Lepisosteus oculatus: one gene and its partner. The protein of the gene in region 1 purifies or fractionates together with the protein of each later gene. This does not show direct contact. Links are inferred from orthologs where the notes say so. Each region holds a gene or a part of one and is shown on either strand. Other genes may lie near its edges. The genes, in order: eif3ea and eif3ba.

Region 1 (15,875 bases):
AGCTAAGTGATTTCAGGATATCCTCCATCCAGTTCTTGATAGAAGACAGGGTTTGGCCTTCAACAAGGTGGTTGGGTAGCCTGTTCCATACTCCCACAACCCTCTATGAGAAGAAGTGTCTCCTGTTCCTAGATTAAAATGCACTTCCATGTAGTTTTCACTTGCAGCCTCTAGTTCCTGTTTCATTGTGGATACTGAAGAAGTTCACTGGGCTGACTTTGTCAATGGCTTTTTGAGGATTTTGAATACTTGTATCACCGTCTTCTCAGTTTGAGGAAAAAAAAAAACGTTGAGCTCTTTTAGCTTGTCAGCAGAGGACATTCCCTTCAGCCCAGGAATGTCTCTGGTTGCTCTTCTCTGGACTGATTCCAGAGCCGCAGTATCTTATTTGTAACATTGTGACCAAAATTCCAGTTGAGGTTTTACTAATGCTTTGACGATTTTAACACAACATTCCTTGCAATCTACACGTTTAACTATATAGTCTAACATTTTATTTTGCCTTTTAATTGTCAACCCGCACTATCTAGAAGATGTAAATAATGTGTCAAAATCAATGACAAAAAACCCTTTTCATAAGTAACCTTTTCAAGCTCAGCATTTTTTAATTTTATGGTTTAGATTTAACTACCCTACCTGCATCCAAACACCCTGGAGATTTGTTTCACCACTAAAAATACTTTCTAAATCTAGTTTAATATAATACGCTGCTTCCACAGTTTTCGTAAACTTAATTAGTTCACTAACTATACCAGAATCTAGAGCACTGGGAAATAAAATATAGATCTGGAAGAGAAGTAGCAGTAATATAGTACATCCCCCATGTTACTCTGCTAATTACATCACCCCAGTTTGAACTTTCTCTCATTGTCTGAGCTCTCTGCTCTCTATCCATTAACCAATTCATAATCTAAACATTTCCTTGAATTCCTACCACCTGCTATCTAAGAATCACTCTTTATTTATGTACTCGAGGAAAAGCCTCAACACTACACTGCACTGAAAATTTACATTTAGAATATACATTTACATTTCTTAACAGGTTCTAGATTGTTCTTCTTTCTTACTTATATTCATCAAATACAGTGAGATGTTCCTAAAATGAACAGCTAAGGGAAAACACACTGAATTTACTGTCCACCCTGATTTTATACATTTACAAACAGTTGTGATATATAAGACAGCTAGCAAGTGTGACTCATTCAGGATTTGTGGGTTTCATTTATATGGAAAATATGCTGTCAATGTTATAGAAATTCCATGGAAAGGTGGAATATAGGGTTTTAAAAAACATTCATTAAAATCTTAAAATATTATTGGGACTTCTGATATGGTTTCATAAATACAGTCTGACATTTTTATTAAATATATCATTTTATATTCAACATATTATTGACTATATAGAGAAAGTTAAATATTTTATTTATTTAGAAACCCTAGATAATGGCAGACAACATTTTAACATTCTTCAAGAGTAAACAAGAAAGACTTAAGCACTGTATGATTTTTTCCCCAGAAATGTAAAATTACATTGCGCATCGTAATGACAGTTTCATTGAAAGACATCTTTGTTACCTCCAGAATTTCAAAGTGAAATTCAATTAAAAGTAAAAAAAAAACTTCTTTTTTTTTTGCTTTTTAAGAAAATAAAGCTTTCTGTGTTGTAGGAAAAATGTATTCCTGTATGTGGATTTTCCTACAATCTGATCCCAGGAGTTCCATCATTAAAAATGATTGGCTGGTTGAAATAGGAGAAACCCAAAGCAATTTGGCCTCCAAATCAGGATTTCAAATACAAGATTCTTTGTCAATTAGGATTGAGTTGCGGTGTTCAACCTATGGCTGTAATATATTTATTGGCTGCATTTTGTTAAGCTTTAATATTACTCTTTCCAACATGTTCTGCCAATTTGAGGCTGTTGTGTTTTGTCTTACTTTATATAAAAAAGCAAAGTTAAAAGGGAAACCTGCTATCTGTCGAATGTTTGATTCCATTTTAAAAGTAAAACAAATATATAACAGGAAAAACGATCGCGATTTTTATTATATATTGTTGAATGTTAATGTTAATGTTCTATTAAACTTGTGAGGAATATGAAAAACGAAATTACTATAAAATAAGGGAAAATTAAATCCTCTGGAGAAATATGATATAACCATCATATGAATACTTAAAAAGGAAATACATCCCTAAAGATCACTAGTAAATTAAGTTTAATGTAACATGATGTTCTTAGTCACTGTGTGTATAATAAAAAGATGATCAATAATTTGATATTCCCATGCAGAGTAGGTATGGATGACATGCTCATTGTTTTTTTCCAAGAGACTGAAACACCAGCTGATTGAACACAAAGAAACCCTCAATAACAACAGCTGAATCTTTTTTTTATTGTGAATGTTTCAGAAGTGGGACATCTGCAGGCAGATGAACATCCAGGCGTTGAGGCATGGATACATGCTATGTGACTTCTGAAAACAGTCTCATAGCTATGGGTTAAAAGTTAATGGTGTGCCATTATAAATGGGCAAATTATACAAATGGGTAAAAGTTACTTCAAAGTAGCTAAGGTAAGCATGTAATATCAGTACATTTAACCATCTGCACTGTAATTTGGTGCATTGGTTAGTACAGTATATTAACCTGCCTCTGTGTATAAAACTAAATATAAGAAAACAGAATGTACACTAATAGGTCTAACTCTGATGTTCTCATGTATTTAATCTCTGAACACAATTATTGGAAACACAACTAAACCTGTTATCCAAAGCCTTCCAGCAGACAGCCTATGGAGAGCAAAGTATGAAGTACATTGGTGAAATGCTATGTATTGAAACCTGGGCAGAACTAATATGCTCTCTTCTTACATTTTTGAAAAACTGAAAAATACTGTATATAAAAAAACTATTCACAGAATCATATTGACAGTTTTAGTTATACAGATGAATAATTCCATATACTGTAGATAATCATAAATAGAGACAAAACCTGAAAATTAAGAAGATTACATTGGCTATCCCTTGTGGTTGAGAAAGATTATTGTCAGTTTATCCAAAGCTGTCTGATAAGGCCAACAGGGCATCTGTCTGACAAGTTGAACAAGTTGTCCTCGGAGATATCAGGTTGTGTACTGTGGTCTGATGTGTACTTCAGCTCTCTCATTTTGCTTCCTCATTCTGATATCACTGGCCTGAAAGTGCTGGCATCCTTTCCATCTACTCCAATCAAAGCTATCGGTCTTTGAAGAACTGATAGCGATGTTGTATTTCTTTATGTTTACTTCTGTCATATGGTTGAAATGATTCCTCTGGCCTCCTCTGATTTCTTGGCAAAGTGGGGAGACGAAAAGCTTTTTTGGTCTGATCCTGGATTCTGATATTTGAATGACATGACCAACTCAACAAACTCAACTCAATCAACTCAGCTGATGGAGGATTTTCATAGTTTGGCATATTAGTGTTCTTGTTTAAGAGGCAGAAGTACCAATATACTAAGATATGAAATGTCTGGGTAAATGAATGTCAGGATAAAGCTGTCAGTATTAGCTTATGTTTTTGTTTAATCATTCGTCACTGCTACAGTATATCCTTGTCATTTGCACACAGGACTTACACAATACTGTTTGAAAACCTTTAAGAAAATAAGGTAAACATGAAACTCTGGTGGATGTGTGTAGTTAAGAATTGCAGTAATATAGCTTATTTTACTATAATCATTGGTTAGCAAACATGCCTTACTCTCATTATGGTTCAGGCAGTATGTGAAGTGAAGGATGCATGAAGGATGCTGAATATTATGTATTCCTACCAAAGTAAAGTGGGTGTAAAGTTATGGTTGCCTTAAATTGAACTTTTAGGTTTTTTGGGAAAATGTTTTTATAACTGGTAGCAAAATTACCAAGTTTCAGTCATCCCCAGTACATTACCGTGGTAATGCCAAAGGAAATAAAGAAAAGCATCACTGAGGTTCAATGCAGAAAGTTAAAGAATCAAAATCCAATCAAATTAAAGAGAGAAAGAAGCAGCTGTTCTGGCCCCTGATTTAACATTTTTATGACTCTGCAATACAACACTAAAGAAACAATGTGGACTTCAGCTCCTGTCTCCAGGGTTGTATGGGTTTTCCTGTCACCAAGTGTGACGGCACACCGACGAGCAGCCAAAGCGCGCTGTGTTGTAACTCAGTGAAACAGAAAACTCCTAGCTGACTTGTGAGTGTATATGACTCACGTCTACCTGAAGTCAGATGCGCAATTTCATAATGACAAGGCTGAGACTGTTTCAGTTTCAGGACAGCAAGCGGAGAGGATGGTGCCGTGGGGTTCTCACGAAAACTGGGGCTGGTGGAACCTGTTAGAAACGGACCTTTTGGTAGCTGACATCGGCTCTCTGAGGGTCAGTACGGCCGGCACATGGGCAGCTTTCCAAAGCAGCTGTTGGATAAAACACTGGTCTGTGTTCACATGGGCAAAAGGACGGTCTTAAACTGGCATATAAAAGTTTTACAAGAGACTACATTTTCTTATATTTTATAAACTTAGGTAAAATTACATTTAACTTTATAAGTAATACAAAGGAGCAAGTAAAGGTTTATTCCATGCTGAAAAGAGAAGAAACGAAACACCGAAAGAAGGCTACACAGCCGAAATGTTTCTTTTCTTCTCTTTTCAGCATGGAATAAACCTTTACTTGTTCCTTTGCAGCCTACGCCTGCTGACACAGCTACCTCCTTTAACTACTGAGTCATACATACAAATATGTTCTTATATGTTCTTATAAGTTCTTACACCTACTGTTAGTACATATTGTATTTTAATTCATTTTTAATTTAGCTTTTGTGCAAAAATTGAATGTCATAATATTGTATTATACTAACATGTTGTCAGCTGACCCTCCTGAAAAATCCTCAATGTTTCACAAGGCCCACCACATTAATGTAGACTATGATTAAATCCAGCCATTTCAGAACAGCTTTATCCACTACAAGGTTGTGGGGGAGCCAGAGTCTATCCAGGTATGCACTTGGCACAAGGCTGGAGACAGCCTGCATGGGACACCAGTCCATCACAGGGCAGACAGGGAGACGCAATCCTGCACACACTCACATTCACACCAGGGCCGATTTTCCCAGAAGCCAATGAGCCCACGAGTTTGCCTTTGGGAATGAAAGGAATTCTTCAGTACTACACAACGTGGAGAGGGCGTCAAGAAATGGAGGAGAAAGTCCTTGCGGATCTGAGGAGGGACATTTGCAGGCAAGGGCTTCTCCACAGAGAAGGAACATGGACAGGACTGGGGGCTTTTCACAAAGGCTAAGGACTTCACCAACACACCAGTCTATCTGAAATGGTATGTGTGAACGATTGGACATTCACAGTTTAAGAGTCAGGCTGGAGCCAAGTGGACACAACAGGGGGTTACCGTGTCCCCCAGCCAACAATTATTGGAAATGTAAATCGTGAACAGAAAGGGTGAAGGACTTGCAAGGCCAAGAAGGAGCGTTTTCGCATCTCTAATGGCCAATCTGTTATCAAGAAGTCTTGAAATCATTGTACTGCATTCAAATAACTTTGTATATATATATATGTCATGGTTGTAATAACATTTATATTTGCAAAAAAAAGGGATATCTTTGAAAGGAAACCCACATGAGCACAGGGAGACTGTACAGATAGCACCCAGTAATTAAACCCCGGTCCCCAGAGCTACAAGGCAGCAATACCAATCACTGCACCACCATGCTGCCTAATGATTCCATTTTAGAGGTCCAAACAGGCATTATGGCAGCTGGGAAGGAAATCTCGCCTTGAAGGAGGATGAAAATCAAAGCTTGACAGATCACAGCTTCACGTTTCATCTAATGCTGTGTGTAAGACACAGAGGGGACTCATGAAAGGGATACTGTGATACTGTGTGATAGGATGTCTGTGTGACACGTGTCACACCAGGTAGCCCAATTGTAAGTACAGCTGTTGACATTTCTTCAACAATAGTCACATACACACTAGTTCAAAATAGGCTAAACTGGTGTGTAGCTGCTCAGAAACCTTTGCTAAGAATAGAAAAGAAAACGTGAAGGAGAAAGCAACCAAGAACTGTATAAAATGCCACTATAATACTGTTAGTTTTGTACACAAAGAAGAATATGCAGGTGCCTTTCAGATCGCAACAGGTTTTGTATTGGATATAACCTTTACAGCTTTTTTGCATTGTGGATGTTTTGCTTCTTGTAAATTGACAATGCTTCGCGTAAATTTTTAAAAATGTGAAGTTCTTGGAACTGGATACAGTGTCTATCATTTGTTAGTTTCACATAATTTAGTTCTTGGAAATGGTATTCTTGATTGTACTTTCCACATGCCTATTCTCCTGTACGTTTATTATCCCCTGCGGTAATCTGACTCTCTGCAAAGTGCTTTGAGATGATGCTCACTGCGAAAAGGTGAAAATAAAATTTGATCAACTCGATTGAAAAGTAACCTGAGTTATGTTATCAGGAAATACACGCACCCTCACAAGTTACACAACTTATAAAAGAAACAGACTGTCCTCAGAATTTACTTTTACTAGCTCAAAACCTTTGTTTTTTTAATGTCGCTCTTTGTAATCTCTTTTAAAAAAATGTAGCAAAATCAAAGGCAAAACAGACTTCAAGTACAACTGCACTGCATTTTTTTTTCCACGATGCAGGGCAATTAACAAGAAATACCTTTTGAAATACATTACTCATATTAATTTCCATTCTATTTGAAAGAATATTGTCTTGTTCTTCATCTGGAGAAAATGCAGGACAACATAAAACAATTAAACAGTCTACAGGATGTGGAAGTCAATTTTACAGGGGCCACGAATGTCCTCCGCTTTAAAAACAAATGGAATGAATATGTCCTGTACATAGCAGCAGCCTGAGGCTTCCTCTGGCCAATACCAGGTATTGATAACATATTGATATTGATAGTGATGGCTGGTGTATGATATTGTGTAAATTATACTGTATATAATTAGCTCACACCTGAAGAAGGCTCCACAGCCGAAACGTTGTGTTCTCTTTCTTCTTCTTTTTTTCAGCATGGAATAAACCTATTACTTGTATAATTAGACATGCCAGGCAATCGCCTTTTATGGGAGCCACGTAAAAGAAGTCCAATAACGAAATAATTATAGATCGATTCAATATAAACCACAAAAATATATAAAATCTGAAAATACAAGATGACTCAGCAATTTCCATGGATGGATATACTGAATATTTGCATAAACGTTTATTACAAACATAAGGCAATTACACAGACCTGTTTTGAAGCACTGTGCTTCAATAATGATACCATTATTGGATTTTTAATTTTGCTCAGATTTGTCTTACATAAGTCCTATCATTAAAGTACTGTATATATACTGATGGAAAAAAGAAACGCAACACCCCCTCCTCCACACTCTGGCCCTCCCCTCTGCGTGGAACAGGCTGAAGAGTGACTCATCTGTGAAGAGGACCTGATGCCTCTGCTGACGAGTCCGTCGCAGCCTCTGTCTGGCCCAAGCCGGTCGGTGTGACGTCTAGGAGGTGTGAGCAGAGGGCCTCTGACAGGTCACCTTGCTCTAAGGCCAGCAGCATGGAGCCTCACTGTCCTGTCACTGATGCGGGCATTGTGTCTGCTGGCAGTTTCAGCAGCAGTACGGGCGACAGATCTGAAACGATCTCTCAGGTGGACCAGTCTGATATGTCGGTCCTGCTCTGGTGTGGTCACTTGAGGGCGACCGGATCTTGGACGGTCATCTGTCCTGCCGGTCTGCTGAAACCTTCTCTGCAGTTGGGACACAGTGGAGCAGCTCACTCCATAGTGTCTGGCAATGCTGGCACATGACATGGCTGCCTGCAGCATGCCAATGGCCCTCTCCCTTGATTCTGGTGACATTCGAGGCACTATGGGATGCACAGAAAACTGTCTGGCCTTTTTCTTGCAGTGACCTAAGCTTTGAATTAAGGACTTTCAGGCATTGTTCCACCTGGACCTCGTTGGGTAAAAGTGCACCTAACGAGCTTTCGTGTGATTGGCAAGTTACAGTGCCTCACTGCACAAGCTGTATTGCTGGTCAGAGGGCTTAAAACAAGTTGACAACAGTTTGTGAAAGAACATCAGCTATGACTATAGTATTCTCAATTCAGAAAATGTTGCGTTTCTTTTTTCCATCAGTATATTTTGCTGAATACCCTGATATAACGGCAGTTTCCAGGTGAAATGAAAAACCATATAACAGCAAGAGCAACAGTTAAAACATGGTGGGTAGCTGCGTCAGCATGCGTAGGCTGCAAAGGAACAAGTAATAGGTTTATTCCATGCTGAAAAAAAGAAGAAAGAGAACACAACGTTTCGGCCGTGGAGCCTTCTTCAGGTGTTGACCTCAACACCTGAAGAAGGCTCCACGGCCGAAACGTTGTGTTCTCTTTCTTCTTTTTTTCAACAGTTAAAACATGTTTACCCTGAAGTCCCCAGTAAAACAGCAGGGTAAAACTAATCTGTCATTGCTATTTTGACTGCTTGTTGATTTATGAAGTTAAAAACAGAACTGGATTGTGTGGTTTCATTTTTTTCTTGTTTTGTTAAGCAGGTTCTCAAAGGTTTATTGCTTTCAAGTTATGGAAGACTTTAAAATAAGCTGAAAATAATTGATTAGATGAATCTTCTTTAGATCTAATATTGTCTTGCGGTGACATCAAGATACGTGCCAGAACAACTGTAACAGAATCCCAAATTTTAGTTTGAAAATTAATCTGGATAGTATAGAAGATGTGGGAGTATAGAACTATTTACCCAGCCATGTTGCTAATGCCAATACTGTACTTCAGTTTCTTTCAAGTAACAGCTTGGGTGAGAGTCTTGAACCAATTAGCTACTAACTTATACATTAAGTTAGATGTAAATGCCTATTTAAATATACGGTAGAAAGCTGGGGCGACATGTTTTATAAACCACAAATTGTGAAAACCCTGATTATTTGGCTAATTTTAGTTATTGCACATATGCTGTGTTAGAGATAACTGTTGCGCAACCTAACTTGTACCTTTGTCTCTGCGACGGTGCTAATAAAGCTTTTCTTTTTTGAATCCCCTTCCTTTCTGCTGCAAAGATGGCGGAGTACGATCTGACCACCAAGATCGCGCATTTTTTGGATCGCCATTTGGTGTTCCCTTTGCTGGAATTCTTGTCTGTTAAAGAGGTATTTACGTTTTTGTACAGTCCTATCGTTTTTTGTTACCGCTTGTTCTTTTCGCTTTGAGAAATGTTGCGGTAAAGCACATTAAAAGCCACGTGTAGTGTTGCCTATCTATTCAATGGAGCCGGCTATGGGACTAGGCCTCTAAATACGTTATAGATCTTTCGACTTAATTGTAAAAAAGCAGGTAGTCAAGAAATATTGTGGAACACTCTATATAAATGATTAAAAGACCAAGCTTTCGGGATATCCCATTGGATTTTTTAAAATCACAATTGTTTTTTGGTAATAGTTCTGCAGCCTGCTTACCGGACTTATCAAAAAGGTTTTACACTTTACATTTTATACCGCTGTTTTAACAAAGTAAATATTTGTTTTATAACAAACAATGCAACAGAGTGTCGTATGATATTTCACCTAAGCCTAGCTAATAAACATTTAATTTCGCTGAATTAAAGAAGCCGGTTTCTGTGTTGCTCTTGTTCTACGTATAATAAGGCTGTGAACTGGCTACAAATCTCAGGGAGGTGCCTGGGTATATTCGGTAAAGACCACAGTAGTTTTCTATTTCAGAAAGCGACGTCATGTTGCAGTGAATTTCGCCTTGCGTATTGATAAAGCATGTTCACTTTGAATTATTGCCGCACCCTTAGTCGCTGATCACACTGGCTAAATGCAATGCCTTTTACCCCGTGAAACTAACGTAAATAACTAGTGCACCTCTCTTCCTTGATTCATTAAAATCGACCCTTGTGCGTTTCTAATGCTGTGATGTGTGGTGCATTGTATATCATTGTACTCGTGCTTGCCCTTTTATTTTCCGAATCTCGTTACCTTGTAGTGTTAAAGGTGATCCCTAAACAGTGCTGATTAAAAGATATGTTGTTCTTGGACAGTAAAATGTGTATACAATTTAATGCTGGAAACCGAGAGTAGTCCCTGTAAGACCAGTCAGAATTCTGATTATTCTGATAATAGGAAGGTCTTTATCTCCAGACTGATGCTCTAAACGGTTGTCTTGTTTACTGTGCGAGCTCCGAAGCACAGGCTTTTCAGACTTATATGTTGTTAAGTCACAATGATTTAGGTTTTTAAACTAAGACATTTGCGTGACAGTTTTATCTTTTGGGGGTAATGCCACACTTTTTTGACGTCACGAGAACTGACCATAGATCTGAGGATTGCGGTGGCTCATTCCCCTCCTGTTATCACGGTAATCTTGGGAACAGGTAATAGGTTTATTCCATGCTGAAAAGAGAAGAAAGAAAACGCAACGTTTGGCCATGGAGCTGAAATGTTCTGATACCACACATAGTAATCTTAAATTGCTTAAATGTGTATCGTGTTTTATGTGTCTATGTATATATGGTATGTTTGTATGTGTATAGTGTATGAGTGACTCACAGAGTCAAATTCCTTGTAAGTGAAAACTTACTTGGCCAATAATCTATCTAACCACTGTAGAGTTGTGTTTTGGGCTCTGGACTCCCCACTAGAGAGAATGAGTTGTGGGTTCAAATTCCAGCTAGGTTACTTCTGTTGTACCCTAATGCAATGTACTTAACTCTGTTTGCCCCAGTAAATGTCCTCTTGTGTAAATATATACTCCCCAAGATGTTCCACAGGACAGTTTGTTCTCGCATGTGACTAACTTGGTAAAATGAAGGATGCATAATTTGAAGGATGAAGGATGCATAAATGTACTGCATTGCGTTAAACACTTCATCCATTCATTATGTGACTGGGGAGGGAGAACCAACAGTTAGCAAAACTGCATTTAAGTTACATGCCATCTCTAAATACTGGTGCAGATATTTTGTTGAGACCTAAATGTGTTTTGAATCATTCAAAAACAATGCCTCTTAACCCCCCTTCTGGGCTTTGTAGGATTTTTGGTTGCTGAAATACTCAAGTTAAGTGCATTATTTCCAGTAACTTCAGAACTTCATGCAGTTTCTCTTCAGCTTACTTTCTGAGAATTTGCTGCCTTTATTTATGACTGAACAGCCCTTAAGAGGTGATACATTTCATGTTGAACAGACACAGGTAAGAATGACACTATTAGTGTCGCTCTGATGCAGTGTTAAATAAACTCTTAGGGTGATTTTCTGCTTTCTAAGGTTTAATGGTGAAAAATCAGACTGTATTTTAGCTACCACACCAAAAATAAGGCCAGTTTAAGTTAAATTTACAATTTAGATAGCTAATTCAAACAGTCATCCCAATAAGAAATCTCATTCAACTTTTCAACAGCTGAAAGCAAATAAAAAAAAAAACTCCAATAAAAAATGAAATAAAATGCTCGTGGTTAAGCACTTTGCTGGAATAAAAACCAGAAGAGGGGGGAGTTACCCGGAACTTGGACTGAGAACCACTGTACTAGGGTATTTTCTAAACCAAGGCCTGACTGCAGAAAAGCCTAAACCACCAAGCAGATCAATTACTGGCTGTAATTAGCACTGGTGATTAAGGGCTGGAACAAAAGCTAGCAGAGACAGAGGTTCTTCAGGACCAGGTTCAAGAACTGCTGATTTAAGCAATCAGCAAATAAAAACATTAGTTCCTGGTACTTCTGGATTAAGTGATTAGACCACAGAATATATTGATCCAGAAGTTCTCCTTTATTGTGAAAAACAGCATGTTGGTGTCCTTTGTTACATATGTCTGGAATGCTCAATCTACCAAACGCTTAGAGAAGAGTGAACATCCTTTTCATTTTCTCATTTGCTGCAGTACTTTTCTAGGATGTGTCTAGCCAATCCCAGTTGAATACAGACACTGGTCAGAGTGGGGAGGTCATGGCATGCCAGCCAAGCCTGAAAATGGACATTTGGGTGTCTACCATGTGTGCTAGAAAGGTTTCTGAGGAGGCAGAAGCAGGGGCGCCGTATAAATGGCTGACCTTGCGTTCTGAATCCAAGCTTCTCTACCCCTTGAAAAGACAAATTCCTAATGCAAGAAATTGTATATGACAAATAAAGCAATGTTATCTTTTTTTTGCACACATCCACTTTTCCACCAATTGGTTCCAAGCAGTTGGAACAGTAATACTACATCCCTATACTTTATCTTCCAGCAGGTTGATCAAGGTTGGAATCTTCATTTTTGAGTACACTGCTTTAACACACTCTGCTGCCACCTTAGATCATCTGTGATCCACAGAAGATGGCGATTTTGTTACTCAAATGTCAGCATGTTACCCCAGAATGGCCTCCAAAGAAGCAGATAATTTCCATGCAGATAGTAAACTGCAGCTGTTCTGCTTGTGCACGGGTTATTTCTTCCTGGTGACCCCTGTTTTCTTGGATCTGGCCTGCCTCTCACAGAGCCAGTTGTCTGTGAACTAAAGAGTGCATAAAATAGTTTAGCACCATAACACGATTAAAGTATAAAATAATCTTGTATTTTTATGACTTTTTTTGCATTTTTAAACTTGCGTTCTTATTTCACAAGACTGAAATGTGTTAAATTTGACTTAGGCAACAGTTTCTGGAGCCAAACTCATGTAAGTTGAGGGCTTTATACTTTTTAACTTTTGTTAGTTTCAATCTGGACTCGTGAAATAAATGTTAAGACGTATTTTCATGGAAATATACAGAAAAACAATTAGTACAGCTTTAAATCAAAGAATTTTCAAGGACTGAGAGCAGAAAAAACATCTACCCCCAAAATCAAAGAACTAGCTGAAGCGAATCATTGCATTTCGTTTGCGGTCCGTCTGGGGATCCTTAGTGGTGTGTCCTGTAATTTTTTTTTCATCTGGATTATTGTTTTTCTTTTACAGATTTACAATGAGAAGGAACTTCTGCAAGGAAAGCTGGACCTGCTCAGTGACACCAACATGGTGGACTTCGCCATGGATGTTTACAAAAACCTGTACCCTGACAAGGAGATTCCCCACTGTGAGCACCTTGTCATCGATTTGCACTTAGCATTGCAAGCAGTTCAGGGCTTGCGTCCAAGCCTAAAGTGTTTTCTGTGAATTGGTGTGTCCTTCAGCCACACAGTAATTACATTAAATTCCAGCTTTTGCCTTGTGTATTCCTGGAAATTTGTATGGAACATTATCAGAGATGTTTGAACATTTGTGCTGAACAGTACTCAATTACAAATCGGAATCCTGCTGCAGAATACTTTCCAAGTGTTTGCAAAGGAGACAGAGAACTCGCCCGAGAGGAGTATAAAGCATGTCACCATTTTAGTGGGGTTTTTTTTCCGGTCCTGTTCTCTGACCTTGAGAAAAACAGAGGAAAGATGCTGCATGCCCGTTGACAACAGAATTTAAAGCAATCTCATGCCTAATTCTTTCAGCTGTAATCTGGCATACGAACAATAGGAACTGTTAGTTTTGAAAGTAGGTGTTCATTATAGAAATGTCTGTAGGGGAATATTATCATGCGAAGTTAGTTTTACTGTAGTAATTACAATCGTAATTGATATAATTGATATAATTTTGCATTGACAGTCATTACGTAAGGATTCCCAAAACTTACAAAATTATTGCAAATCGTTAAATCGTCATCTTATTTTAGTAATTTTATGAGAAAACTGTTAGAAGAGGCACTAATATTCACACAAGATGCCCAGAGTGCGTATTTACTGTTGCAAACCAGCCCCTACCTGATTATGTCCAGCTTCTTAATGGGATGGTTTTGACTTTTTTGAAAAGGAAAGCGTATAAATCCAAAGCACATTGTGCCAAATTTCCCCTTTCCTTCTCATCTTTTCCCACCTCTTGATTTTTAGCCTTGAGGGAGAAGAGAACTACAGTTGTGGCGCAACTGAAGCAACTGCAGTCTGAAACAGAGCCCATTGTGAAAATGTTTGAAGATCCAGAAACCACCAGGCAGATGCAGTCCACAAGGTAAGGCTGCTTACGTGTAAGCTGACTAACCTGATGTTATATATTCGCAAATCTGTCCCAGCTTGCCTCTTACTTAATGGTATGATTAAGTACAAGATACTCCAGCCATGACCCACAAGACATGTTTTCTAGACACAATGCGTTAGGTTCAGTCACCTTGCATTAGTTACCTGATATTATGTCTTACATCCTTAACTTCAGCGTTAAAGTAATTTAGCAATTTGACTTGCTTTGTTAACATTACCATTCTGATTAGCAACAGCGATAAAACATAGGAAGTAAAGATTGCGGTGATTAAAAACAAGAGTTAATATGCTTTCAAGTGGACAATGGGCATTTTACCGAGAATGACACATGGTCTCTTGAAGGTGTAAAATGTAAGCATAATGATCATCACTACAATGTATTTAATGGTAGAATGTTGGTATAGCTAGTTTGCAACACTTTGAAGCAGAAGAATATGAATCATTATAGATGGGTGGCTGATGTGAGAACGTGACGATTAAACCCAGTCGCTGCGGTTTGTGAATATTTTACGTTTCTTAGTAATAAAAAGTTCATCCTTGATAAAATACAACAAAATGTAGAATGCCGTGAATTCAGCATTCTTGCATTTGCCTATTCGCGGTTTGGTCTGGCCAGCAGAGTCTGTGATGAGAGAAGAGCAGAGTGGGATGAAACCGAGCCGAAGGTTTGTTTAACTTTGAACTTTCAACTTGGCGGCACGACAGCCGAGGGTGGCGAGACGAATCTACAGTAGCAAGTGAGGGAGCCCCTGCCTGCGGCCCCCCAGGCACTTCCTACTCGGGGTCCTCATCTCCGCGCGGTCTTGTTTTTCTGTTGTAACGGGGAATGACAAAGGCTGGCGAGGACTTTAGAGGCTCTCTTCCAGTTTTATTGCCCTTTTCATTACAGTGGGGCGTGCTGATCACAGAGACGGAGAGAAAAAGTGCAGGAATCTGCTGGATGCGAGAATTCATGATAATATTATCACTGATTACTATAAGCTTGTGGTTACTGTTGTTTTTTAGCTGATTGGTTTAAATTAACTTAAAGACTGCATTAGTACTTTATTATATAGGTAGTGTTACTTATCTTTTAAGTATGTATTCTATGTACTGTATACATTATGTGACAGTACAGTGGAGGAGTTGATTATATGCGAATTGGGCTAGTTAAGACTATTGAGACCTTAATATATATATATAAATTCATGTATGTTCCGGGGGATTTGTTCTTAAACATTTATAGCCACAGCCTGTTTTTACAGTTGCTTTCCTCATTTGGGTAGATATTTCCTAGTAAGACTTCACACCCAAACAAACCCTTCTTAAGATTTCACTCAACTGTTAATATACAACAGATTGTTTTTGCATTGGTAGTAATCATAAAGAGCGTTTTTTACTTTATAGAATTTTGTGAATGCTGATGAATGGGGTGAAATCTAAGTATTTGGTCAATTAAATAGGAATGTTACTTTGAAAATAAATTGTTTTGCACATTAGCCTTTCTTTTCAGTTTCATTGAATGGGTCACTGTTACTATCTGCAAATTGTGACTAAAAAAAAAAGTTGTGGTTACTGTTGTTTACTGAAGCTATTTAGTCCTTCCAGACAGCACCATGATTAAAATATTTTGGTTAGATTTAACCTTCAGCATTTGTTTGGATTCTTGGCCTGAAGCTATAAGATTTGTCCAAGATATTTTTTCATCATAAACTAGATCCAGGATAAATTCACATTTTTTTGGTGTTGGTTAATGTCTTCTTTTTTTTTTTTTGTATGACCTATGTTATAGT
Region 2 (15,870 bases), on another chromosome or scaffold:
CCTATATATTTTACCTTGTTTAAGAAACAACCAAGTTAATGGTATTTCAGAACAGCAAAACAACCAGTTTAAGACGGCTTGCATAGCTTTTGTGAGAACCTGAAATGGGAAGAATAGGCTCATTATTTCAAACAGACACAAACAGTGTGATACACTGTATACAGTATACAAATAAAACAAGAAATTGACTCCTACTGAGGAATCCGTGTCAGAATTTTGGAGATACTCGTGAAGAACCAAGAAAGCCTCACTCAAAAATTCACTGCTTCCTAAAAAAGGAGAAAAAACAGGCTAACTGTAAAACCAGTAAAACTGGGAAATCTTTACTTTGACAAGGTTAAGATCAACATTTCTTAAACTGGTTACTGATCATGTTCGTACTGCATTACCTGAGCACTGTGCAAGCCTGCTCAGTGTATCCATTGCCGACTTCTGGACCTTGGTACAGCCAATCAAGTTTTTGAAGATGTTGCTGTTTTTTGAGCTGCAGGGGAGTGCCATTCCAATGCAAGCCCTTAGCACTGTGAGAACAGAGCAGAACAGGGACTTGCCTGGAACCTCCAGGTGCAGTGTGTCCTGTACACACAGAACTAAAGATAATTTTTCAGAAAAGTCATCTTTTCAAGTGGCTGGACATACATAATGTTTTAAGAGATTTGATGTAATTGATGTAAGATCATTATTAAAATTGTATCACCCCTCTGTTATCAAGAAATAAATTCATCTCTCTGCAACAACCATTGCCCTTACACAAGAAAGAAACACATTTTTGTTGGAGAGAGGACAGATGCAGCTCTCTGTGATAACACTGGAAGCTCACAGTTGAATCAAGGATGCCTAAGTTGTTTCAATACCATTTATCCCAAGTAACACACAGCCAGATGTATATTGTTACTTGTGGAATCCCTGTTATAACTAGCCATTGCCCTAACTAACTTTTGTTAATTGTGACACAATTGTGAAGTGGAACGAAATCTACTGGATTTTTGAAACTTTTTTAACTAATAAAAAAGTTTATTAGTTAAAAAAGTTTCAAAAATCCAATAGATTTCGTTCCACTTCACAATTGTGTCCCACTTGTTGGTGATTCTTCACATAAAATAAAAAATTTATATCTTTATGTTTGAAGCCTGAAATGTGGCAAAAGGTTGAAAAGTTCAAGGGGGCCGAATACTTTCGCAAGGCACTGTAGCTCTGCTGCTGAACCTGATACTGACAGCACTGCTAATGTTAGCAAGTGTCGGAAAACGGCTATAAGGTGGTACAATCCAAATTATCTATGTGCTCAGTGCTATTTCTATTATATGTGTGTGTGTGTGAGTGTGTGTGCGCACGTGCTCATATTGGTCATTCAGATTTCTGTGGTTCCTATGAGAAGATGACTTGTAGGTGGTACTTGAATGCTTTGGTTTGATCAGGGGTGGTCCAAAAAGTTTGAGAACCACTGCCTTAGGGTATAGGCAGAGTTAGCTAATGTGGCTCAATACCTCTATACTGGTATTTTTACCAGTTGAGCTATTCGGAAGCACACACAAAAAAAGTTTCTGTTCATATTTTACAAGATTTCAAAAAGGTAGGATGGAAACATCACAGTAACACACCAATAATTTATTTATTCCAAGAAAACATATGTCACAAATAAAATAACTGCTTTAAAGCAGTAGAAGTAACTTACCATGCATAACAGCTCTTCCGTGTGGTACAATGAAAGGCAAAGTAAAGATGAACAGGATCCTTTCTGGGACAGCTGCTTCTTTGTAGCCAATTTTTCAAGAACAAATCCACCCTCCAAAACTTTTAAGAGGAAAAAAAAGTGACAATGATTGTTAAATTCCTAATATGCTGGTACTGAAGTAAAATGAAATTATGATTATGCAACAAAGTGCAGCTTTTTTACTGTGTTGAAAATACCTGAAGACTGTTGTTGTTCATCTATTGCAGCCATAATACAGTCTAGTGGCTGGAGGATTACTTGAATGGCCTTGCTCCTCAAAATATGTGGGCTGCAATACAATTGTCTGAATAACATATTTGTTTGCAGAAAGCAAAACAACTGTTACTTTGATCAGATACTTTTTAAAACAAAAAACAAACAAGCAAAAAAGAAAAGGTCTCTAAAGCTTTAAGCACTAAGTCTACTTAAGTCCTGAAGTACATGCTTACCAGTTTTCTAATTTGAATATTCCTAAAGCAAAGGGAATAGCTTGTGTGGGGTTCAGAGTACACAGCATCAGATCCATCAGATTTACCAAGTTGGAGTCCTCTTTGTTCAAGAGAGCAGTCCTGAAAACCAGTTTAAAAACTTCAAATTACACTCATAAATTAACAACTGAAAAAATAACCTTCTCCAGAGCTCATTACAAGACTAGAATGTAGTGCAGAAAATTAACCCTTTACACAAGGAAAAAAAAGCAGAAACCAACAGTAAAATAACTGAAAATACAAATATCATTTTTTATTCCCATAATGAGGCACAAGACATAACACTATAAATAAAAATAAGGTAATTTTTTCCTTTACTGAAAGAAATGAAAAACTAGCCCTGTTTTAAACAATGCAATGTACCCTCTCACAATGCATTCAAACCAGGCCTTCAAGGATATTGGCACACTTCCTCCCCTCTTTTCTATTCTGATATAACCAGTTTAAAAATAATATTTTTAAAAAATGAATTGAAGACAAAGAATGTTTAATAACCTTGATGCAGTTAGAAGGACTTCCAAGAATGGCTGTTCCATCACGATCTGGCCATTTCCCATCCGTGTCTTAATAGCAGCCTCCGTCTTCTGCCAGAGTACTTCCATGACCTGCGGCTGGCAGTGTACCAGAGCCAAAGTCAGGAGCCTTAAGGACTGATGGGTGTGGAAGGAGATGTCAGAATGCAGTGCATCTCCCAAATGTTGTGCAATTTTAATGCTGCAGTTAGCCCATTCAGTTTGTTCAGCATAGGTGTTACATTCACAGGCCACAGAGTTCTGCCAAATATCACTGTTGTCTGAAGATGAATGTGCAGGTACTTTCTTTGGGAAGTTTAAAATGTGAGCCAAAAGCTGATTAGCTGCTGAAGCAACAAAGAGGCTTCTGTCTATTTGTAAATTCAGGATCATTTTAGTAAAATCTGTGAAAAAAAGAACAATCCAAAGTGCAAAATAAGTACTGAATTAGGTTTGGGAGGCAGACCCTCAACATTTGACATATAAGGCATTTGCCATTGTAACTGATTTTATTTTTCAAAGCTAGCTTATTTCTTTGTCTAATTATACAATTTGTAATATAAAATCAAAAGAAAAGCACGGTACCAGTTAGTGACACAAGAGGGCCTTATATCATGTGAAAACTTCACAAACCAAACACCATAATGAAACAAGTGGAGTTTTCTTCCGAAGGCGAAACGTTTCATTTCTTCTCTTTTCAGCATGAAATAAACTTTTTACTTGTTTCATTGCAGCCCATACATGCTGATGCAGCTACCTACTTGAACTTTCTCAAACCCCTTAATTAATAAGTCTCAAGGGGATCCCCAGAAGAAAATAATAATAATATATAATAACATCACTTTATTAACCCTTTACAATGTCTTGCATTAGGAATTATCTTTTCGAATACCCCAGCTTGCTCTCCATGAGACACACAGACAGGGAGAGAAGCTTGAGGTCAGAGCGCAGGGTCTGCCATTGTTCGGCACCCCTGGAGCAGTTGAGGTTAAGGGCCTTGCTCAGGGGCCCAACGGAGTAGGATTCTTCTGCCGGCTGTGGGATTTGAACTGGCAACCTTCTAGCCACAGGCGCAGATCCTTAGCCACAGAGCCACTGCACTGCCCCAAAAAGTGAACCAAATGAAGGCTCACATTTAATTAAACACACAATCCTAGATATTGTTAGTGACCAGAGTTCAGGGGAGATCTACAGTCTACACTTAGAGAGGATTAGAAAAGGATCTCAGAGAGTAACTGTGTCTGTTGTAAGTTTGGACAGAGGATAGAGAAGTGGTTCTAAGTCTAAGTCTTTCTTGTGAGGGATCCACCTTCTGGCTTTCGTTCCAGCAAGCTCTTAATCAGTGGCTAAATTAATTTTCAACTTTGAAAGGATTAAGGTCTCCATTTTTTAGAAATTCTTCAAGATTGGTGGTGGTGGAGGGGAGTCCCCATTACCTGTAAAGCGCTTTGAGTGGAGTGTCCAGAAAAGCGCTATATAAGTAAAAGCAATTATTATTATTATTATTATTATTATTAGATCTCTGACTGAACTAACAGACCTTTTTTAGGTCTGCATTTTTGTCTATGTAAAAATGCTGAAATACATCACAATTTTAGAATAAAACACACACCCTCCCTACAAATTTAAATTAGCAGAAAATTCTCAATTCTGCATTTTATCACCTTAAAAATCTGCATGTATGAATTAAAATTATTTTTAAAAAGGTGTCTTATGATTAAATTAAAAAGACACTGCTATGCAATCCTATTTAATTATGTCATTTCATAGCTTTCCCAATATTTAGTTTGGAGACAAATGGTCATTGGATGGCAGACTTGATCATTTGGACAGAGTACAATGTCTTCATTATTCGGATGTTTCAAGTTCATAGGAAAGGAGCTGTAAAATGACATATTGGGGAAAGAGTAAAATGGTTACATTTAAAGTTAAATTAATTTTATGTGCATTACTATGTGCAATTCCCACCGTTCATTATGATGAAATGCATAACCCTCCAGTGCTGGAGCATGCTCCATAATCCATTGATCCACCCACTGCGCACTATTGCCTCATCCCACAGCTCTGTGTGGGTCAGGCCTGGGTTTCCAAAGAGACTGTGCAAAATGTCCTGTTCCTGAAGATGACAAAAGTTTTCACAATTCAGGCTATTCAATTTCTACATTTCAAGCATCCTAATTATGATATCTCCAATGAAGACTGCCAACACTAACCCCTGAGCACTGAGATTCAGCCTACTTATTTCAGGCATTGTTTCTTTTTCATGTGGCAATCAAGCAACAAGAGAAACAGGAGAGATTGAAAAGCCAGTATCTGAAAAGTTTATAATTTAAAAGTTATATCATATTCTGTTTAAATATTCCTGCTAGAGCTGCTCCAATCTGAAAAAACACAGCTGTATGTAAAGTTAGCAGAACACAGTCAGTTCCTCTTCCAAAATGATGATTATGTCTTACATTTTATCTACAATACTTTGTAAGAGCTATATTGCCAGCAAAAAGGTTTTTTATAGGCTAAACTTTTAGAACACAAAGTTAAAAGCTACCAAATGAAATATATTAGGTATGAAATAATTTTCCTGTAGCACACTTCCAGGAATTGTATGTAAAGAAAACTTCAAGAGTGGCTTTGATCAATTTACCTCTAAAAAGCAAAATCCCTCTTCAGTAGCAGCTAAGATCCCAACCAGTCTCAGTACAAAGGAGAGAACAGTGGGTTCATTTGTCTTCAATTTACACACACTGGATATCAATTCAGTTAAACATGGATTGTGCTGCAGCAAAGATGCCCCAGATACTAAAAAAGAAGAAATAAAGCATAATATTATATATTCAACTTTTAAAAATGAAGTATAACTGAAGATGAATTCACTACCTATGCTTAAAATAATACCTCCATCTTAGTGTGTTTAAAACTAGACTTACTAGTGTTACTGAATAGCCAATACCAGCAGCTTCAAAGCCAGTAAGTGCACCGTACCTAACTTGGCAAATTAAGTAGCCATCAATATTCCCTTTTCATGCCAGCTGTACTTTGCAAACGTGACCAATATGTCACAATCTAGTTTAGTATTAGGCTGACTAAACCTAATTAACACATTAAAGTGTTCAACACCTGAATTGTTCCACTGAGGATTGTCTGAGAATCTTCTCTAGTGGTGCACATTTATTGATCTCTCAGTTTCCTTTAAAAAAACCCTTAACTGTATAATTGAGTGTGAATATTATAGTCCCTTTGAAAATTACAGCTTTCAGTCTGTTTCAATAGCTCACCCTTTTTTGTTAGGTCTTTAAACCAGTCCAGCAGCTTCTCAAAGCAGGTATCATCAGGGAGTGACTGCTTTGGATTAACAAGAACTGTACAGACAAGAGGTAGCAGCTCTGCACATTCACTATCCATTGTTTTGGTTATCTGGAATCCGAAAACAAGTTTTAATATTCTCATTAACAACATACAAGTTAATTAGTAAGTTTTCAATTAAATAATGTGCACTTCCCCCAAAATAACAGATATAAATCATCTCTACTTCTATTACAAACTCATACAGCTACCTTCTGTACAGCTCATTTCAGCCCACACATACTAAAAATTCTGTCCCCTTTTCACAGCTTCTCAGGTTCTGACAACTTTGCAGTGACACTGACTTCCAAAACCAAGCCCTTAAAATGCACAATTTTTTCATTAACAGAGGATACTCCACCCATATTATTGACAGGGCCCTTCCCAGAGCCAAAAATAGCCCTCAGACCATCAACTCAATTAGGAGTTCCCGGCTTCACAACCACATTCCCGTGGTGCTTCCCAACCACCTTAACACCCTTTCTATCCCCAGGACCATTAATGACAACTTCCACATCTTAAAGGATGATCCCTCCACTGGCACTCATTTTTTCGTAAAACGCCCCGCCATCTCATATTGCCAACTACCTAATCTAACCTTATAGTATACTGCTCTCTTGACCGCAGTCAGCAATCATCCACACCAAGAACCTTCCCCTGCAACAGAACTCGCTGCATCACCTGAAAATATATATCCAATACCATGCACATTCAAGGCCCATCTGGACAATTCTGGATCACTCAGATGACATCTTGTATCTCCAACAAATTTATTTACTGCATCTCTTAAAGAAAATGCCCAGCTATTTACACTGGTGAAACAGGAAGGAGACTGAGAGACCATTTCAGGGAACATGTCAGGGCTGTGAGGATCAAAGATCTCTCCAAGCCCACAGTTTCCCATTTCATCGCTAACAGCCATGATCATACTGATCTTTCCATCTTTGTTCTCAAAGAGGGGGTTCGGATCTCCTATTGCATCCAAAACCAAAATTATTCTGAAACTAGGATCACACCTTCCCCCTTTTCTCATTGACAGACTTGTTTCCTTCTAATCCTCTGTATTCATCTGCAGGTTTTGACTTCACACCTCTGTTCACCTCTCTTAATTTCAAACCACCTGAGTGTCCACTCTGCTTCTCTCCTGCTCCCACCTCCTCTGCAGCTTTTGTTCTCCTGTGCTTTATCAACTGCCGATTTTCCTCTCTCACACCTGAAAAAGGAGCTACAGCCGAAACGTTGTTTCTTTTCTTCTCTTTTCAGCATTGAACAAACCTTTACGTGTTCCTATAAATCATCTAAATTCAGAACACATAATCTTAATTGAGTCTTATAAGAATTTAAGCACCTTCAGGTTTTGAATTGAGGGATCTAAATGACAATTTGCTATAATATTAATTTTAACCTAATTTCTTGAATTATTAGTAATCACAATTTTTCATTAAGTAAATAGTAGTAATTAGTAAGATGATGCCTGTGCCATAAGAATTATTTTCCCATTTAGAGTTAGAAGTAAACGCATCGAAAACTAATACAAATTCTAAACATAACAGGGACCTAATAAAATGTCATTTGCTATTTTCCTCTGTACAGTAACATGCGATTATTTGGGTCAGTAAAGTAATTATGCGCATTAAAACACAACGGGTTTAACAATACCGGAGTTTGCAGCTTCCTTATCTTATTGTGGCAAACACAAAGATGAACGCCGAGGCGTAGATATACGTTCAACGAAAAATTGTCGTTAACGTCTGAAAAGTGAAGGGTGGGATCCCAATCTAGTGTTTAAGTCACGTGTAGCTACAACTTTACTTTGGTTAAGAATAAGAATTCACAAAAATTAAAGAGAAAATTAAAGTACACAACACACATTCATTTTACCACGTGCTCTTCTGTCCTTACTAATCATAAACAATCAAAGATAGTTACAGACTTCTACAATAAAACAAATATAGAGATTCTACATTTAAACGTTTCTCAGTTTAACATAATTTACGATGACTAACACATCACAATCAATAAAATCTCCGAATTTGGGATTTGTGAAAAGCCCAACCCTTCTTACATTTCTCAAGCACTTCCTCCTGTAACAGGAAATAATCTGGAGGCATCCATTTTTAGAACGAACCAAATTGTGTGAGGGGAAATATTTAATAGAGTATTCAATTTTTTCACCTTCAGTATATGCTAGAAATATTATAATAAAATTGTCATTTCTATTATATTATAAGATCGAGGTTTTGATAGGTGTTTTCGTTTTACGTGTTTAGAAAACACTACCTGTTAATCCTTACCCCCATCCCTCCGAAAAGGTTGAGTCCCTTTTCACTGGAAGTTGGCTCGCGCCGGTTGTCGTGCACATGGCCTGCTGAGCAAATATCTAGATTATTTGATAGAAAAGCTGGTCATATTAATTTTCCATAAATCTATTGAAAGGGTAAAGCTTTAAATGCGGGATACGGAGAACATGGCGGCCGAAGCCGAGTTTGAAGAGGGTGAAGAGCTATCCTTCAGTGACCCAGAGGATTTTGTGGATGACATCAGTGAACAGGGTAATCGAGCGGAGGAAAGCACCCGGCTTTGCGGCCTGGTTGGAATAACTCAAATAAAAATAAGCGCTATTTAATAAGCTTTCTTACTGTTAAATGTAACGATGGTACAACTCGCGGCCTAAAAATAAAGGCACTAAATCGTGCATTTCCGTTCAAGGCACTCAATTTTTAACAGTTTCTGCCCGGTTGTGGAGTCATTGACGAAGCGAGCATGTCGCAGCTGGATGTATAAGTTAAAAATGATAAGAAAGCAACCAGTTTAAGGACACGAGTAACACATTCTTAAGTAACACTAACGTTATAGATTGAATGTTCGGTCGTATAGTAACAAAGACCTCAGTAATTCAGTGTTGAGTATGCAGCAAGGTGTATATATAGAGTAAATTAGAGTTACTACGGTTTTTTTAATTTTCAAATTAAATGTATTATTCTTATATTTAAAAGGTGTAGAAATGTCTTTTCAGGTGGCTGTCTATTGTACATTTATATTTCGTTGCAAGTTTCTGTAACGGTATTCCAATATGTTCGTTATAGGCAAATGAGTCGCTTTTCGACCTGTAGTTGATCTTTACCGGACAGATAATGTACAGGTTTATTTAACGCAATCCTGACTATTTTATAATGTTCTGAAGTGTTACCAATATTTTGGAGTTTTTTACTCCAACATGTTATTAAGGAACTTTTTAAACTGAAATGTATAATTAAAATTAAATTGAGTAAAATGACGAAATTACACCAATCTGGTGTAAAAGTGGATGTTAGTTACATATTTATAATGAAAGATAAGCAGCGCTCATCTATCGTTACTGAAATTGCATTGGTAAAAGCACTGTATGCTCATTGAACTGTGAACGGAAGTAATGTCACTGTGTTTTTATAAACCGCCGAACTATATTACGTTTATAGTTCAACTTAATTACTGAAATAAAAAATATTAAGCCTGCTGCTGTGTTAAAGTACAGATGATGCTGTCTACAATAAAACATGGATCTCGCATTTTGTGGGTGTGTACTCAAAAATAACTAACTGTAGTTGGGCTTTACTGATAACTGATGTACTGCTCTTGGAACTGTATTTCTGCCTGTTTTTCAGAACTGTTGGCTGATATTCTGAGGGAGAGGCCCCAAGAGGCGGACGGTATTGACTCGGTTATTGTGGTTGACAACGTTCCTCAAGTTGGACCAGAGCGCTTAGAGAAATTGAAAAATGTCATACATAAAATTTTCTCAAGATTTGGCAAGATTACAAATGAGTTTTATCCAGAAGCTGAAGGAAAGACAAAAGGGTTTGTATTGCATATTTATCATTTTGCTCTTTAAAAAATTGCATTCAACATTTACTACATGAATATGTATGTACACTCATTGATTTATTCTCATTAATGCATTTATAACTTTATTTTCATTGTATTTAGTCTGGTTCTACTGAATGTGTGTACTACTGCTGTGCAATTATTTATGTATGCAAAATAAGTTATTTTAATATAATGGTATAGTTATTAATTATATATAGATTAATTATTCTACGTATAGATTGTTTTTTGTTATTCATGCTATTAAAAGTTATTTGGACTTGAAGTTAAACTCAGGTATGTTCTAGATTTATATCCAGGTTATTAGCTATTAAGAACTTGCTTTGAGGAATAATACAGCTCTTACAAATTATTTTGAAGGCAAACATCTATTATTGATTTGTTGTTGTGTAAGACTATATTAAAAGTAAATCATGTCTTCTGGGGAAGTTTGTAGGTAGTTGTGCTTCATTGTATTTCTCTTGTGTAACACTTGTGTTTAGGTACATTTTTCTGGAGTATGCATCGCCAGCTCATGCTCTGGAAGCAGTGAAAAATGCAGATGGCTACAAGCTGGACAAACAGCACACCTTCCGAGTCAATATCTTTACAGACTTCGACAAGTGAGCAATTTATTTTCATTTATACACTGTGTACTGTATGTCTCCGCTTTTTTCTTTGCCTCTAAGTGATACATCCAAGGGAGTTTGTTCAGATGGGTACCTGCTGGAGATGGGATTGAAAAACACTAAGGGTATTATGGATTGGATAGAATTACTGAACAGTCATCTCCCCATTTCTGTAAATGCTCTTTTGAGATTTATTTATAGGAAACCTGATTAGAGGTAGTATGTGAACTTGCAAACTCTTGTTGATATTAGGTTTATTCCATGCTGAAAAAAAGAAGAAAGAGAACACAACGTTTCGAAACGTTGTGTTCTCTTTCTTCTCTTTCTTCTTTTTTTCAGCATGGAATAAACCTATTACTTGTTCCTTTGCAGCCTACGCATGCAGACGCAGCTACCCACCTGAACTACTCTTGTTGATATTGTTAGTGTTGCTATTTTTTAATTAGCATTATTTTTGTATAGGTACATGAATATCAGTGATGAATGGGAAACCCCTGAAAAACAGCCATTCAAAGACTTTGTAAGTATCATTACTAATTTGTGTATATCATTCAGGATTGCCTATACAGTTATCACTGCAAATGTTATATCTGTAAGTGATGCTGCACTTTTGAGACTACCATCCTCTTTAACACATTTTAACACATTAAGGCCAGCAAATTATTGTACAAACATTAAAATTATACTGAAAAGTATTTTATTTTAATTTCTCTTTTAGCATTTAAGTATTTTGTTACATTTGGTGGCTGGCCTTATGACCTCAAAGTAAAAAAAGTTATAAAAGCAGTGAAGTTTGTTGCAAACTCTGTTTGCTTATTTAATGTTCAGTTTAAAGATCATAAATTTAACATCTTCAAACACTTGGGAAAACATAAAGTCAGTCAAATCTCATCTTTTAAATCTATTTAAAAAGATTTGATGATTTAAGTATCAGTTCTGATGACTAATAACAATTTTGTGATCGTCCAATTTGGATTATTCTAATTTAAGGGGAATCTACGGTACTGGCTTGAAGATTCTGACTGCCGTGATCAGTATAGTGTGATTTTTGAAGCTGGTGAAAGGACAGGCATTTTCTCCAATGATGTCAAGGAACCAATTACGATCGAGGAGAGAGCTGTAAGTAGTTTACAAAGGCAAGACTACTCTCTGTATTTTGCCCATGTGACCATCATAAAGTAAGAGTCACATAAAAGGAGACCTTCCAAGACATGTCCACTTGAACTGAACTTTTAATGTGTATGTACTTATGTTCTTAACATGGCCATTTTAATTAATATAATGCTCACATTGACACCTTTTTTGGAGGCAATATAGTTTGGAGTATTGAATGTGATAAGTAAAATAGTCTACCCACAGAGGCAGTCTTGGTTTGTTTTGTGCCAAGATGGAATTTTTAAATAAAATACTCTGAGAAGTAGTGGAGAAGGATAAGAATTCCATATGCAAAAATAGGTCAATTCGGATGCATTTTAATGTAGATAGCATTTGCACTAATGTGGTGCACAGCATTAATGAACATGTAAAAAAAACGTCTACAATCTTCTAATATTGTACTTTCACATCCCTAACAGAAATGTATGTTCATCGGTTTCATTTTACTGTAATAAAATGTCTTTAATTCATCTAATTGAATATAATTCTTCGTTGTTGTTGTCTACAGCGCTGGACAGAGACCTATGTTCGTTGGTCTCCAAAAGGCACTTATCTGGCTACATTCCATCAGAGGGGTATTGCTTTATGGGGAGGAGAGAAGTTCAAGCAGATTCAGAGGTTTAGCCATCAGGGTGTTCAACTCATTGACTTCTCACCATGTGAAAGGTGAAAGAATTGCCATTATCATTATCACAGTGATCAAGATTTTTTCTTAAAGTAATTTTTTTATTTCTGGATTTTTAAAATGTTTATCCAACAGGTAACAGCTGGACATAAGGCATTTTTAAATCCCAAATATGTCAATTTAATGCTATGCTTTAGGATCACAAAGAAGATTACAGCCAAAAAGAGGCTGTTCTACACATCTGGGTGGACCGTAAAAATAAAAATGTTTTTATTGTGAGCTTTGGAAAGAATCTTGGTGGTGCATGTTTGCTGTGTAAGGAAACTACAGTTTTAAGCCTTCTCTGCAAGGATCGTATAAAAACTTGTTCAGCCTGCACATATCTTTTGGATAAAGGAGTAGAAAGAAAACTGTATACGTGGAAGTAAAGATTTTCATTTGTGTAGAGTAATATATCAGAGTTGAATCAAAACGAACTTTGGAGACTAACCACAACATGCCAAAAAAGTAACATCTTGTTTCCTGCTTCACCTTCTTTAAAAACAATAATAATAATTGCTTACACTTATAAAGCGCTTTTCTGGACACTCCACTCGAAGCGCTTTACAGGTAATCGGGACTCCCCTCCACCACCACCAATGTGCAGCATCCACCTCAGGTGAAAACATTAGGTGAAACTGCATTAAATTGAAATGTGTGTTGTTTGGTTATTACATGATTGTTTTCACGTTTTTGGTTCTATGATCTTAAAATGTTTTTGTATGTGAATTTATGTAACTGTTCTGCACATATGCATAAAAGATTTTAATTGTGTTTTCAATTACAGGTACATGGTTACATTCAGTCCTCTAATGGACACAAAAGATGACCCCCAAGCTATTATCATCTGGGATATTCTGACTGGGCAGAAGAAGAGGGGTTTCCATTGTGAGAGCTCAGCCCACTGGCCAATTTTCAAGTGAGTTGTGTTTGTTTGTGCTGCAGTGCATTATAGTTTTTTGCCCTCTTTATTTATCTTCCCTTATTTTCCCCTAGTAATGGAATTTGAGCATTCATTTTAAAGATGACAAATAAATAAGTTAACATTTGTACCTACTTTTAGTGACAGTGTAACTGATAGAGCCTTCATACTTGTTTTTTAAATTAAGGCCTTTATATATAAGAATAAATATATTTCACTGCTGTTAGTCAACAGGATTGTAGTCTTTGCATTCAGAGAGTAGTGTTATAATCTACATGTCTTAGATTTATCAGTACTACTAGGGGGCTTATGCAAATTAAGACTATGCCTAATATTCCGTTTGGCATTTGACCTAAAGTATTTTGGTAGTTTTCAATCAATATTTTTTTAATCTTTATTTTTTGTATGAAATTATTTTCAGGTGGAGCCATGATGGAAAGTTCTTTGCCAGAATGACACAAGACACACTCAGTATCTATGAAACACCTGTAAGTCCCTTTTTTTAGATTTAATCATTGAATGAACAAAACGACCTTCAGTACCTTTTGAACTAAGATAATCAAAGATCAAATATTACTATATAATTCATTTTTGTAGTTTTGACTTCACTTTGCCTAATGCTAGATTGTTCCACTTTAAGCTTAACAGTAATAACCATTTGAATCATGTAATTTTTTTCCTCCTCTTTAGTCCATGGGGTTGTTGGACAAGAAGAGCTTGAAAATTGGTGGGATAAAGTAAGTGCAAGAAAAAATTGAAGCCTTTTAATAAAAATACTACAAGTAGTGTGTAAAAATGGAATGAATTAGGCACAATAATGATATTAAAAACAAGGGCTTCCTCACCTTTGTGGTTAATGGATTAGTTAAGCCAATAATATCACAGCATGCTTAGGATCATATATAATATTGCGCATCTGTAACTTTGAAAGAAGCGTGATTGTTGGGGCACATTTGTCAGGAGCTTTAGTACTGAAAATGGCGGCTAAGTAAAAAATTGTCAGCATGGAGCTTGGAGGAAGACATCAGATCAATTGACTGCATATTATAAAGTCATACAGCTTGAAGTGGTGTTTCCATTATCTTATCCACCATTTGTATGTTGTAATTGTGAAAACATCGTTTTTTGGTTGTAATTATTTTTAAGTGAAATAATGTCAGTGATGTTGTGTGTTAAGTTATTTGCATATCTTTCCAGGGATTTCTCATGGTCTCCTGGTGACAATATTATTGCATTCTGGGTACCAGAAGACAAAGATATTCCTGCAAGAGTAACACTTATGCAGCTGCCATCCAGGCAGGAGATCAGAGTTCGAAATCTGTTCAATGTAGTTGATTGTAAACTGCACTGGCAGAAGAATGGAGATTACCTTTGTGTGAAGGTAGACAGAACTCCCAAGGGAACCCAGGTATAGTCAGTGGAGTTTATCCACTGGAGCTTTTAATTGTTTTTGCAGCTCATTGTAAAACAAGTTTAATACAGTTGACTAGGAGGATAAGAAGACAACCGAGGAGGTTTTAAATGTTCAAACTATCGTAGGTTTATTGCTCTCTATGTTCCTTGTTAAACCTTCAAATATAATCTAGTAATTTGACTTATCTTTTTTTGCATAAGAAAATGGGATAATAATTTAGTAATTAATATCCTTAATTTGTACAATGCTTTAAAGCATGTGGGAAGGATATTTCAGGATTTTTTCAGAATTAAGACAGATTTCTGTTAGATAGGTGTTAAAGGATCTATTTACTGTTAAATTATTAAATCCATAGTTGTATTTAATTACACAAGAGTACTAAAAACTAATTTAAGCTGTTTCTTTTGTAGCCAAATAGTCCTGCAAATGTTTTCTTTTTTATTTGTAGGGTGTTGTGACCAACTTTGAAATTTTCAGAATGAGAGAAAAGCAAGTCCCTGTTGATGTTGTTGAAATGAAGGGTGAGTATTTGGACAGCTTTATCGTGTTTATAGAATTCAAAGTAGAGACATGGTTGAATGTGTTTTGCTTTTGCAGAGAGCATCATTGCTTTTGCCTGGGAGCCCAATGGCAGTAAATTTGCTGTGCTGCACGGAGAATCTCCAAGGATAAACGTATCATTTTACCATGTTAAAAACAATGGCAAGATCGAACTTATCAGTAAGTGACTTTTCTTTTAATCATATTTGATTTATGAGTTTAAGTTTGTTTCTGTTTGAAGCATTTTGTTACAGTAGGAAGTTCTTAAGTTGTACAATATTTGCATCTAATGGCAATAAATCATAAGTGGAAAGAGTAGGATGCACACACTCGAACAAAACGTGCAGAAACATTCTATTGGGTCATTCCCAATTAAGGAACTGGTGAGAACATACACCGGGAACATTCGTTTTAAAAATCTGTAAAAAAAAGTTTCAGTGCTTCAAGAACAACAGTTCTAAAATTTAAGTTATTTTTATAGTGGATACAGAATTTTATTGTGTGATATTTAGTTATCAACAGTCATCAAGTAGAACAATTTATAAAAATATAGAAGCATTAGGAAAATCCAAACTGCTTCCCTTTTGAAAGAACAATATCACAGTATTAGCATGTCCATCTCTCCTACAGAAGGAGTTTCCCAATGCCTA

What was found.
Region 2: the proteins of eif3ea (region 1) and eif3ba purify together in Homo sapiens (affinity purification with mass spectrometry; 9 studies listed by BioGRID and IntAct, counting the BioPlex papers as one, with this or other methods). This does not show direct contact. The link is inferred for Lepisosteus oculatus from reciprocal best matches to the Homo sapiens genes EIF3E and EIF3B.

The regions. Positions count from the first base shown.
Region 1 is NC_090705.1:38,865,349-38,881,223, reverse strand, and holds the start of eif3ea (eukaryotic translation initiation factor 3 subunit E-A), read left to right. Parts: upstream 1-9,094; 5' UTR 9,095-9,126; coding exon 9,127-9,216; intron 9,217-12,997; coding exon 12,998-13,115; intron 13,116-13,959; coding exon 13,960-14,077; intron 14,078-15,875. UniProt on the Homo sapiens protein: Component of the eukaryotic translation initiation factor 3 (eIF-3) complex, which is required for several steps in the initiation of protein synthesis.
Region 2 is NC_090714.1:9,155,468-9,171,337, reverse strand, and holds the start of eif3ba (eukaryotic translation initiation factor 3, subunit Ba), read left to right. Parts: upstream 1-8,360; 5' UTR 8,361-8,502; coding exon 8,503-8,605; intron 8,606-9,697; coding exon 9,698-9,890; intron 9,891-10,399; coding exon 10,400-10,519; intron 10,520-10,987; coding exon 10,988-11,045; intron 11,046-11,515; coding exon 11,516-11,644; intron 11,645-12,188; coding exon 12,189-12,346; intron 12,347-13,131; coding exon 13,132-13,263; intron 13,264-13,687; coding exon 13,688-13,754; intron 13,755-13,956; coding exon 13,957-14,003; intron 14,004-14,463; coding exon 14,464-14,674; intron 14,675-15,128; coding exon 15,129-15,201; intron 15,202-15,277; coding exon 15,278-15,400; intron 15,401-15,870. Other genes in the region: brat1 (BRCA1-associated ATM activator 1), read right to left, coding at 15-269, 390-576, 1,676-1,794, 1,912-2,003, 2,164-2,283, 2,698-3,118, 4,683-4,830, 5,356-5,510 and 2 more.